Linked DNA regions of Sus scrofa. The protein of the gene in region 1 binds, or shares a complex with, the protein of each later gene. Links are inferred from orthologs where the notes say so. Each region holds a gene or a part of one and is shown in the gene's direction. Other genes may lie near its edges.

The links.
Region 2: the proteins of INTS9 (region 1) and BRAT1 are in contact, whole or in part, in a cryo-EM structure (PDB 8UIB), measured with the Homo sapiens proteins. The link is inferred for Sus scrofa from reciprocal best matches to the Homo sapiens genes INTS9 and BRAT1. Residues at the interface, in NP_060720.2 of Homo sapiens: Gly276, Met277, Gly279, Glu280, Cys282, Ser283, Asn284, Ala286, Leu287, Arg290, Asn291, Tyr315, Asp317, Ser318, Ala319, Gly320, Ser483, His484; in NP_689956.2 of Homo sapiens: Ala406, Pro407, Cys416, Pro460, Gln506, Lys507, Arg508, Cys510, His511, Pro512, Arg517, Glu545, Leu549, Gln552, Asp556, Pro557.

The regions. Positions count from the first base shown.
Region 1 is NC_010456.5:12,689,373-12,694,295, reverse strand, and holds the start of INTS9 (integrator complex subunit 9), read left to right. Parts: upstream 1-1,855; 5' UTR 1,856-2,160; coding exon 2,161-2,169; intron 2,170-4,601; exon of another isoform or gene 4,602-4,689; coding exon of another isoform or gene 4,690-4,698; intron 4,699-4,923. UniProt on the Homo sapiens protein: Component of the integrator complex, a multiprotein complex that terminates RNA polymerase II (Pol II) transcription in the promoter-proximal region of genes.
Region 2 is NC_010445.4:1,904,248-1,909,105, forward strand, and holds the start of BRAT1 (BRCA1-associated ATM activator 1), read left to right. Parts: upstream 1-1,400; 5' UTR 1,401-1,633; intron 1,634-2,442; 5' UTR 2,443-2,458; coding exon 2,459-2,585; intron 2,586-4,858. UniProt on the Homo sapiens protein: Component of a multiprotein complex required for the assembly of the RNA endonuclease module of the integrator complex.

The DNA.
Region 1 (4,923 bases):
CAAGAAAGAAAGGAAGAAATGAAGGAAGGAAGGAGGGAAGGGAGGCAGGCGAGCAGGCAGGTAGAGAAGGCAAAGGTTTCAATACCTGCAGAATCCCAAAGAAATGAACTAGTCACATCACTCTACCCTATATGATACAGAGGGTTTTTAAAGCTCCGAGGTAAATAAAAGCAATCACTTTTTACCAGCATTCAACTTTACATGGTATAGTATCTTTAATGCTAACTGCATTCTCCCCCTCACTCACCCAATGTTTCCCGTCTTTTCCACACCAGGTTTCAAACAAATGCGAGACAGAACAGGGTGGGGTAGAGGAAAAATACAAGCAGCGCCTTTCGGCGATTCCCCCCACCCCCGCCCCGGACCCCCAATAATTTCCAACAGTTTCTCCTACTACGAAAATAAATCGCCCTATCTCAGGATATACAACAGTTATTCTGTGTCTTCAGTTGACACCCAGAAAGAGACGCGTACACATACCAGCACTCTCGACCCCCGCCCCACGCCCCCGAATGTTAACTAGTGTTTAATCTACTGAACACGAAGACGGCAACGAGATCCCTCCACCTACTGTTTCGGGGTAACGGTGGGTGGAGGACTCGTTTCAAAGTAGCCCCAACAGTGTAACCAAAACACGGTTCCGGAATAAAATATTAAGAACACTTTTCCTTTCCCACCTAGCTACCGACTTCGGGATGCAAAAAGCCATCCACACAGCATCTCACGTCTACAGTGCTCCTACCCTGAGTTTGGGGTTGGGATGTGTCCCTGGGAGGATGGGAGAAGGAGTGTGAGCGGGCGATGGGACACAAACGACTTGCTCCCCACGGCCACCCCGCGCCGCGGCGCCAGCCCAGAGGTCCAGGACCCGCACCTCGCGCACGCTTCTCCGCCCAGGCCCAGCTAAAAGCTCCGACTCCGTCTCCCGAACTTCCTCTCTAGAGACATTTATTCAAGGCTAACACATCACCCAAGTACACGTCACCCAGTTTCAAATACAGTTCTGCACCCCAAACAAACCCACACCTCAAATTCCCCTCACAGTTTCCCAAACTCCAAACAAGAGACCCCACCTCCAGGATTCAAACCTTCCGCCCACCAAGGAGGTAACCAGGAGGAAAGAGTTAGGGAGCAGCCGACGCCTTTCCATTTTCGCCCCCCACAAACTGCCCCACCCCAGACCCTGCGTCCGGGTCACCCCCCTCGGAAGCCCCACGCTTCCTCCCTCCTCTCAGTCGGGCCGCCTAAGAGACCCACCCCCGGCCCACTCACTTTCTCTCCCAAACCCCTCCAAAAAGAAAAAAGAAAAAAAGTGAAGAGAAAGAAGTGAAGAAAGAGACTTGAGGGAGCCCGCCTTCCAAATCGCTCGACTCACCTCAGAATCCTTGCTGAGTTCTCTCCGCCCGGCACAGCCCCCTCCCCAACGTCCCAGTACGAAGGGCTGAGGTAGGGAGGAGGGGAAAGCGGGAGGGGGAGGGGTGTCTTCCGCGTGGGGCGCCCGTCGGGAGGGGACTGGGGAGGGGTTGAGGCCGGCGCAGGAAGAGGAGAAGGGGGAGGGGAGGCCCCTATCTCCCAGTCTCCCCCTGAAAACCTCCCTTGTCTCAATCACATCAGACTGACTGTCTTTGTCTGGCTGACAACCGCCATATTGATATCAACAGCCCCGCTCCCACCTGCTGCCGCCGGGCGGCCCTGGGAGTTGTAGTTTCTTACTCCCTCGAGTAAAAGCGCGGGACTCGGCGCCCGGAGGCCCTGGGGGACTACAGCTCCCGGCAAGACCTGCGCCATTCGCCTTCCCACAGGGAGGAGGGGAAAGGGGCGCCAGAGTCGTAGGGACTACACATCCCAGAATACCGTGGGCTCTGGGCCCAGACAGGGGACATGATATCATGCTGGGATGGAGAGGGAGAATGATTTGGCGGCGGGGAAGAATTTGAGCCGAAGGAAGGAGGAAAGAGAGAAAAAGGAAAGATGACCACAGTTCCCATGATGCAAGAAGACAGGACTACATTTCCCATGATGCATCCGGAAGGGGGCGTAGGGAAGAAAGACTGCATGTCCCGCGATGCTCGAGGCTGGCGGGTGGCGGAGATTGAACCGGAAGAGGCTTTCTGGTTCTGAGGAGTCCAGTGACTGATATTGAACAACCTAAAGTCCAATATGAAATTGGTGAGTCTCTGCTCCTAGGTCAGAGGGCAAAGGTGATGCCATATCCTTTTGGACTTCGTCGTTTCCAACTTGTGGTGGGAACCGTCGCGGAAGAGGGGTGGCAGTTAGAGACTTAGAAAGTGGGGTGAACCAAGGAAAGCTGCTCCTTGTGGTTGAGTTTGAATCCCACCTCCCACCCCCGACCCCCAGATCTTATTTATCCCTTGGCGGCTCCTGTGGTTAGATAAGAGATTGACTCTGTCACCTTACTTCACACACGAACTGAGGTTGGGCTTTATGAACTAGGTTTGACTGATTTCACAGCTGCCATGTGAGTTTTATAATTGGTTAACTTCTTTCCACGCGATTGGCGTTTGATTAGCGTTTCTTACAGTTTTTGAAAAGGCTTTGGTTACATATGAGCAGAGTTTAGAAAATATTGGGCAGAGTAATCACTTAAGTTTTCTGTTATAGACTCCTAACTGTCTTTGATATTCAGAGAAGGACGAGATCATGGTATGGTATGATCGTGGAAGATTTAAGTTTTAAACCCTGTATAATATGGTTTAAGTGTCAAGGCATTCAGTCTAGGGCTGTAGGGACTGTATGAGCCAAGATTAGATGGAGCCTGCCAGGATACCTGGAAAATTCTCTGCATCACAAAACTCAAAACACTTGGCTTGTAGGGAGGCTGCTCAGGCCTTTATTTTGAGCCACGTTACTCTGTGTGCACACAGATTTAGCTACTTTAACTAGTTTATTCCAACTGTATGGTATTAGTAGAAAAGCAGGTGTGAGATGCTGTTTCTCAACCTCTTAAAATTCGCATTCCTGCAGCCAAGTGTTGTAAATCTTTACTTTCCTGTAATTTTAGTAGAAAAATAAAATGTGCATTTTCTTAATTGTTTGAGCATGCTTTTCCAAAGTGTGCAGCCCAGGCTGGTGCCTGCACACACACGCTAAGGGCCTGTGCTCTTCAGAGTTTCAGCTGTTTTCTGAGGAGTCAGAGAAATAGAAGTAGATTCAACACTAAAGCTGTTTAGGTAAGGAGAAGGACACAGATCAGTAAACCTTGAGGATATCAATTTGCTTCTGGGTCAGTTTTCAAGACATGTAAAAATGCCAAATTGAAAGTCACCACCCATATCCAAAAGAAGTGTGCAATGAAGAAGATACAAAAGTAATAAATGATATTTCACTGTTTTCATGGTAAATGGAAGCATGTTCAGTGTTTAGGGATTTAGAGGATGATGGGGGTTGGGGGAGTGGGAGACAGCTCTATGGAAAGGAGACTCTTTAACAGTTAAGCAAGGTGAGTAGGCTAGGGCTTTCCTTGAAGAGGGTTCAGCTTTAGAAGCAAAAGAGCTTTGCACCTGAGTGCTTGAAATAAAGACCATGTTTTCTTGATAAAGGATAAATCACATTTGGTATGTATGCTCGGTGCAGAGGCAGGAAAATGGAAAACAGTTCTTTTCCATAATAGCTCATTTGCTGAGGGTATCAGAGAGTTAGGGTTTAGTTTACATATGCTTTGGTTTGCTTATGAAATCCTCCTGCTTACCTCATTTAAAGAAGATAAAAAAGGGGGAAAGAGAAACTATTTTTCTTTCAAGAATCATAAAATGCCTTAGAGGAATAAGGTAGTTGATGATTCTGTGAGAATATCTATTGACACAGCAAAGTGTTTCAAGAACACTGACACTCAGTAAGCAGGCTTCTTTTTTGTATCATGCCTCCCATAGAGTTGGAATAAATTTTCCTAGGGCCTAAAAATTTTTAACTTTGTGTACTGCTTCCTGAATATGTGATAAACCATGTTTTGTATTTCTATCATGAAACACAGAAATATTTTTTATAGAGTACATTCTTGTTTTGGAGATTATGACTTCCCCAAACACCCTTCCCACGTACAATCTATGACCATATCTTGGTGATTCTGCAGTTCTTAAACTGGTCTGTTTCTCTCCAGTACCACCAATACAGCCTTTGTAGGGGCTCTTTTCACTTGACACTTGAAATTCAACAAAACCTTCTAACTGGTCTCCCACCCTCAAATCCATTCCCTACTCCATGCCCAGAAGTTGTTTTAAATTGCAGTGTTCCTTTAAAACCCTTTGGTAGCTTCCTTTGCCCTTAGGATAGTCTTAAAATTATTTTTTTGTTGTTCTGTTTTAGAGTTTTGTGGTTTTGGGGTTTTTATTTTTTATTTTTGGTTTGGGAGGGGTTTTTTGGCCGCACTTGCGGCATACAGAAGTTCCTAGGCCAGGGATCAGACCCAAGCCACAGCATTGTCAATGCTGGATCCTTAACCTGCTGAGCCACAAGGGAACTCCTTAAAATTCTTGACTTGACTTGCTTGATCCTGTAGATTCTGGCCCTGCTGACTTCTCCAGGCTAATGTCTAGCTCTCCTCTCTTGACCTCCTTGTTCCGTTTGTATTGTATGTCTTTCAGTTCCTTGAAGTCCGCCTGCTCTCTTTTGCCTCTGGGACTTTAAGTGTGTTCCATTGCCTCCAACACTTTTTGCCTGGCTCATTTCTTCATGTTTCAGGTCTGTGTTTAAATAGCACTTCTTTAGTGTTTCCTTGAATTAGGTACCCCTTTTATATGTTTCAATGGCAAACTTCCTTTGATAGCACTTGTAATCATTGGTCTTATGTCTGTCCTACTTCTTACAGACTCTTCATATTCCCACACCCCCATTGTGTGATGCTCCTAAATAGTAGTTGAATAAATCATTTCTGAAGGATTGTCAAAGTCCGTGAATATTGTTGAG
Region 2 (4,858 bases), on another chromosome or scaffold:
CACACAGTGGTCCAAGTCTATTTTCCGGGACGCAGGGTAAATTGAGTGGGTTAATGGTCAGGAGCTCAGGTTTAGTAGACTCACTGTCATCTCTGTGTCTGTGAAGTGAAGACAGTTTCAGGGCTTTCGTTGGCACTGAAGGAGATTAGAGATAAAATTCAGGACAGTGCCTGGTACATGGTAATGTTGGGGAAATGGCTTGGATCGTTGGTGCCAGAAAATGGGACACATGAACACGGGGCGATCTCGACAAGGCAGAAGGCCGCTGGGACTCAAAAAGCACAGGCTTAGAAGAAAAGCCCTCCCTATTTATCCCTAGGCAGGTGGTGGACCTGTCCTCTTCCCATTGGTCAGGTCAGGGCACACATTCTTCTCTGTTGGCTCATTTGAAACAAATTGTTACTGGGAGAAGAGGGAAAGAGGAGGGGTGTCCCAGGAGGGCATTTCAGCCAAAAACAGAGCAAAATGGAGTCACCAAGGTTTCCTTTGATAGAAAAGACATTATGTTACTTTCCACAGTAACACCTCAAAAACCAGATACTACCAGATAACACTTTGCTGCTGGTGCAATTATTTTTATTTCTTCCGAAATTATCCACTTCACTTATTGGTGCTCCTTTGCTCTGTGAAGCCCTGTTAGCAGGCCTCTCACTTTCTTAATAACGTCCATCTGCTTCCTCCGGTACTGTCCGTGGGGCAGGTGAGTGCTTTTAGGACTTCAGCTACCCACGCACCAGTGCCTCTTGCTCCTCTCCCACTCCTGGGTTTCTGCAAACCCCCAGCCCTTCCTGCATCTATTAATTCACTTACTTTCTCTGATTTAATTACAGACGCAAATTCTCATGATTCCACTTATAACTTTTTGATTTTACACTGGTGAGAAAACAGCAATACATTCGGTGGAAACCGGACTTCGAATTTTGAATTCTGATCTTTTCCCAGCTGGGGGTATGCGCTAGGATACATTCCTGGTGCTGGACAGAGGCGGGGAACTGCAGCTCCCCCTCAGTCATGCAATCATCAGGGTAAACAACCGGACACTTACAACCATTCCGTACCAACAACCACTCTGCTTTTCACTTTCAATACAGTATTCCACCAATTACATGACATAGTCAATGCTTTATCATAAAATAGGCTTCGAGTTAGATGATTTTGTCCAACTGCAGAGCGAGTGTAGGGTAAACTAGGCTAAGCTATGTACAGGGGGCAAGGTGCATTCAATGCACCTTGGCCTCTGAATGAAACCCCATGGACCAGTACAGAGAAATCACCAGCCTACCGCCAGGTGAGGCATTGCTTTCCTTGCCAGCCCAAACACGTGGGCCCTCGGCTGCCGAGGCCACGCCCCTTCCGCCGGAAGCTCCGCCTTCCAGGCGCAAAGCCTGCTGGACGCCCGAGCGCGTCCAATGAGCGTCCAGGAGGGCGTGATGGGCAAGCGCGGCGAGTTTGGCGGCGTCCGGTTCCCCGCAGCCTGAGCTCGTTCCCCGAGCCTGGGCGCTCTGGGCTTTCAGCGTGGCCTCCGCGGCGCTTCCCCGGATCCCTACGCCCGCCGTCCCCGTCCTCGTCCCCCCCAGGCCGGCCGGTGGCGCGGTCCGGGGCGGGGCCTGCGGCGGCTGAGGGGCGCGAGCAGGTGAGATGCGCGCCGGGACGAGGATTGCGGTCGCTGTAGTGGGCTTGGCTGGGAACCGGTTCGGGGCCCGGGCGAGGGCAGGGAGCTCCGTAGGGCCCGCGTGCGCCGCCTGGCCTGGGGTCTGTGACCACCGCCGCCGCCGGCCTGGCGCCCTCAGCGGCGTTCCCAGGGAGGGCGCCTTCCGCAAGGACTTAGCCTGGGCAGGGGTGGACAGACGGACACCCAGCCCAGGCAGGCCTGCTCCGGACCCTGGCAGAGTCCCACCCTCCCGCAGGAGCCCCCCTGCCCACAGCCCGCCGGGCTCCCCAGTCCTCTCCCGGGCCGCGCACGCAGGTGCACTTGCCGCGCCCAGCTAGGAACGGACAGTGGGCAGAGTGCCTTCCCCACCGCACACGCCGCTGGCTGCAGGGTTTTCACACTGACCCTGAGAGGGACAGACAGACACTTCCATCTGGCCTGCCCCCTACAAGTGGCTGGCCCCAGAGTGTGCCCACGTCCCTCACTGGCTCACCTGCAGCCTAGGTCAGCCTCACCCTCTTCTCCCACCGAAATCTAAGGTTGGCCGATTTTCGTCTCCTGCGGCCTCATGGTTTACTCCAGACTCCCTTCCATCTCTGCCTCCACAATTGAGGGCTCTGCTTGCTCGTGACAATCTCCCATCCTACCCAAGCTGAGGCTTTTCATCCATCCCGGCAGCTTAGAGTTTCCACCTGAGGATTGCGGTCCCCTGGCCTGAGATGAAAGGGGAGGCCTGGGGGCTTCCCGTGACCAGGGCAGGTGGGACCTGGCCCTGACATTTCCTTTTGCAGGAACTGCAGCTTCATCATGGACCCGGAGTGCTCCCGGCTCCTCCCGGCTCTCTGCGCCGTCCTGGCAGACCCCCGGCAGCCTGTGGCAGATGATACTTGCTTGGAGAAGCTGCTGGACTGGTTTAAAACAATAACTGAAGCAGGTGAGGGTGAGGCTGCCACTGTTGACTTTCCCTAGAGGCTAGAGGGGGTAGGGCTGCCCTCTTCTGTCTCTCTGGTGGCATTCTGTCACATCTTGAAGATTCCTCCTGGATTTGGGGAACGGCAAGCTGAGCTTGAGGGGGTGATGGGGACAGCTTGAGCTGCAGGCCTCCCGTTGTTCAGGCCGTGCTCCGTGGCTGCTGAGGACACAGACCAGCTTATTCTGTTGTTAGCATTGCGTTTTTCTGTTCTAAAAATCGGTTTTTCTTTCTAATTATGCAATACATATTTTTAAAATACAACTTGAGCAGCACAGAGGAATAAAGAGAAAAATGAAACCACTCTGAACCCTTTTATTTCCATCCAGGCTTTTTCTTGACACGTCATAAAGAGGTAGTTTTCTATAAAAACGAGATCATACCATATACATACAGACTTTCTCTCCTTCTGTCCTAGTGCGTGTTTTCCCACGGACGCACTGGTGTTATTGACTGTTATTTGCTCTATGAATAGACCTTAATATTATAATTAGTTCACCATCGTTTGATGTTTGTGTTTCTGATGTGTCATCATTATAAATAACGGGAGTTCTCTTGTGGTGCAGTGGGTTAAGGATCTGGCATTGTCACTGCAGCAGCTTGGGTCACTGCTCTGGTGTGGGTTTGACCCCCAAGGAACCTCCATACTGTTCTCCATAGTGGCTGCACCAGTTTACATTCCCACCATCAGGATAGAGGGTTCCTTTTTCTCCACACCCTCTCCCGCATTTGTTATTTGTAGACTTCTTAATGATTAAAAAGTATTTCTGAATAGCTTTATTTGTGATATAATTTCCATACCATGGAATTGACCCATTTATTATCTTTTTTTTTTTTTTTTTTTCTTTTGACACTACACCTGTGGCATATTGAAGCTTCTGGGCTAGGGGTTGAATCAGAGCTGCAGCTGTGACCCATGCAGTTTGTGCCAACACCAGATCCTTGAGGCACTGAGTGAGGTCAGGGATTGAACCTGTATCCTCATGGACACTTGTCAGGTTCTAGCTGAGCCACAATGGGAACTCCAGAATTGACCCATTTGAAGTGGTATTTATTTATTTATTTATTTTGCCTTTTTTTTGCTATTTCTTGGGCCGCTCCCACAGCATATGGAGGTTCCCTGGGTAGGGGTCGAATCGGAGCTGCAGCCATCGGCCTAGGCCAGAGCCACAGCAACGCAGGATCCGAGCCGCGTCTGTAACCTACACCACAGCTCACGGCAACGCCAGATCCTTAACCCACTGAGCAAGGGCAGGGACCGAACCCGCAGCCTCATGGTTCCTAGTCGGATTCGTTAACCACTGCGCCACGACGGGAACTCCTAAAGTGGTTTTTAGAAGTCCCCTGGTGGTTAAGGATCCAAGCATTGTCACTGCTGTGACTTGGGTTCGATCCCTGGTCCAGGAACTTCTGCATGCCATGGGCGCGGCCAAAAAAGTGAGTATTCGTAAATTCATTGCTGGCCTACACCATGGCCGTAGCAATGCAGGATCTGAGCTGTGTCTGTGACCTGCACCACAGCTCACAGTGACGCTGGATCCTTAACCCACTGAGCGAGGCCAGGGATTGAAACCACATCTTCATGGATACTAGTCAGGTTCCTTCCCACTGTGCCACATTGGTAACTCCCACTTTCATCTTCTTAAAGGAGACCTGGTATCCCTTAGCCGGTCATCTGTCCCTCCTCGCCTAGCCTGTGTTTGTTTTCCTCACTATTCTCCCTGATGAAAAGAGAATAGTCTTCCTTAGTTCAAGTTTAGGTCATTAAAACCGGTTATGTTTTTGCTAATCTGAATCGTTTTTGAGAGAGAAGTGAAAATCTTATACTTAAGATTTTGGGTCGACAGTTTTTCTTTGAAATTCTATCTCCCCCCTTATATATTTTGAAGTTAGATGAGGTATGTGCAAGCTTAGACTGTCATATCTTCCAGGATTTGTGTCTTTGAGCAATGACTTGCTCGAGCCATGAGGAAAGATTTTTACTTTAAAGTCAGTTTTGTCTGATCGCACTCTTGCTGCCGCAGCTTTTTAAAAATTAGTGTTTGCCAACTATCTTGTTGCCCTTTCCTCTGGCCTTCTGTGCCGTCAGGCTTCATCGTTTCTTTCTTTTACCCTTTACTCTTGTTTAGCCTTTGATTCTTAGTGTAATCTGAGCGGCTCTGTGTTCTAACACAATTTAACTTGTTGTATTTGTTGAGCTTACTCTTCTACACGAACCTGTTTTCACCACAGACTTT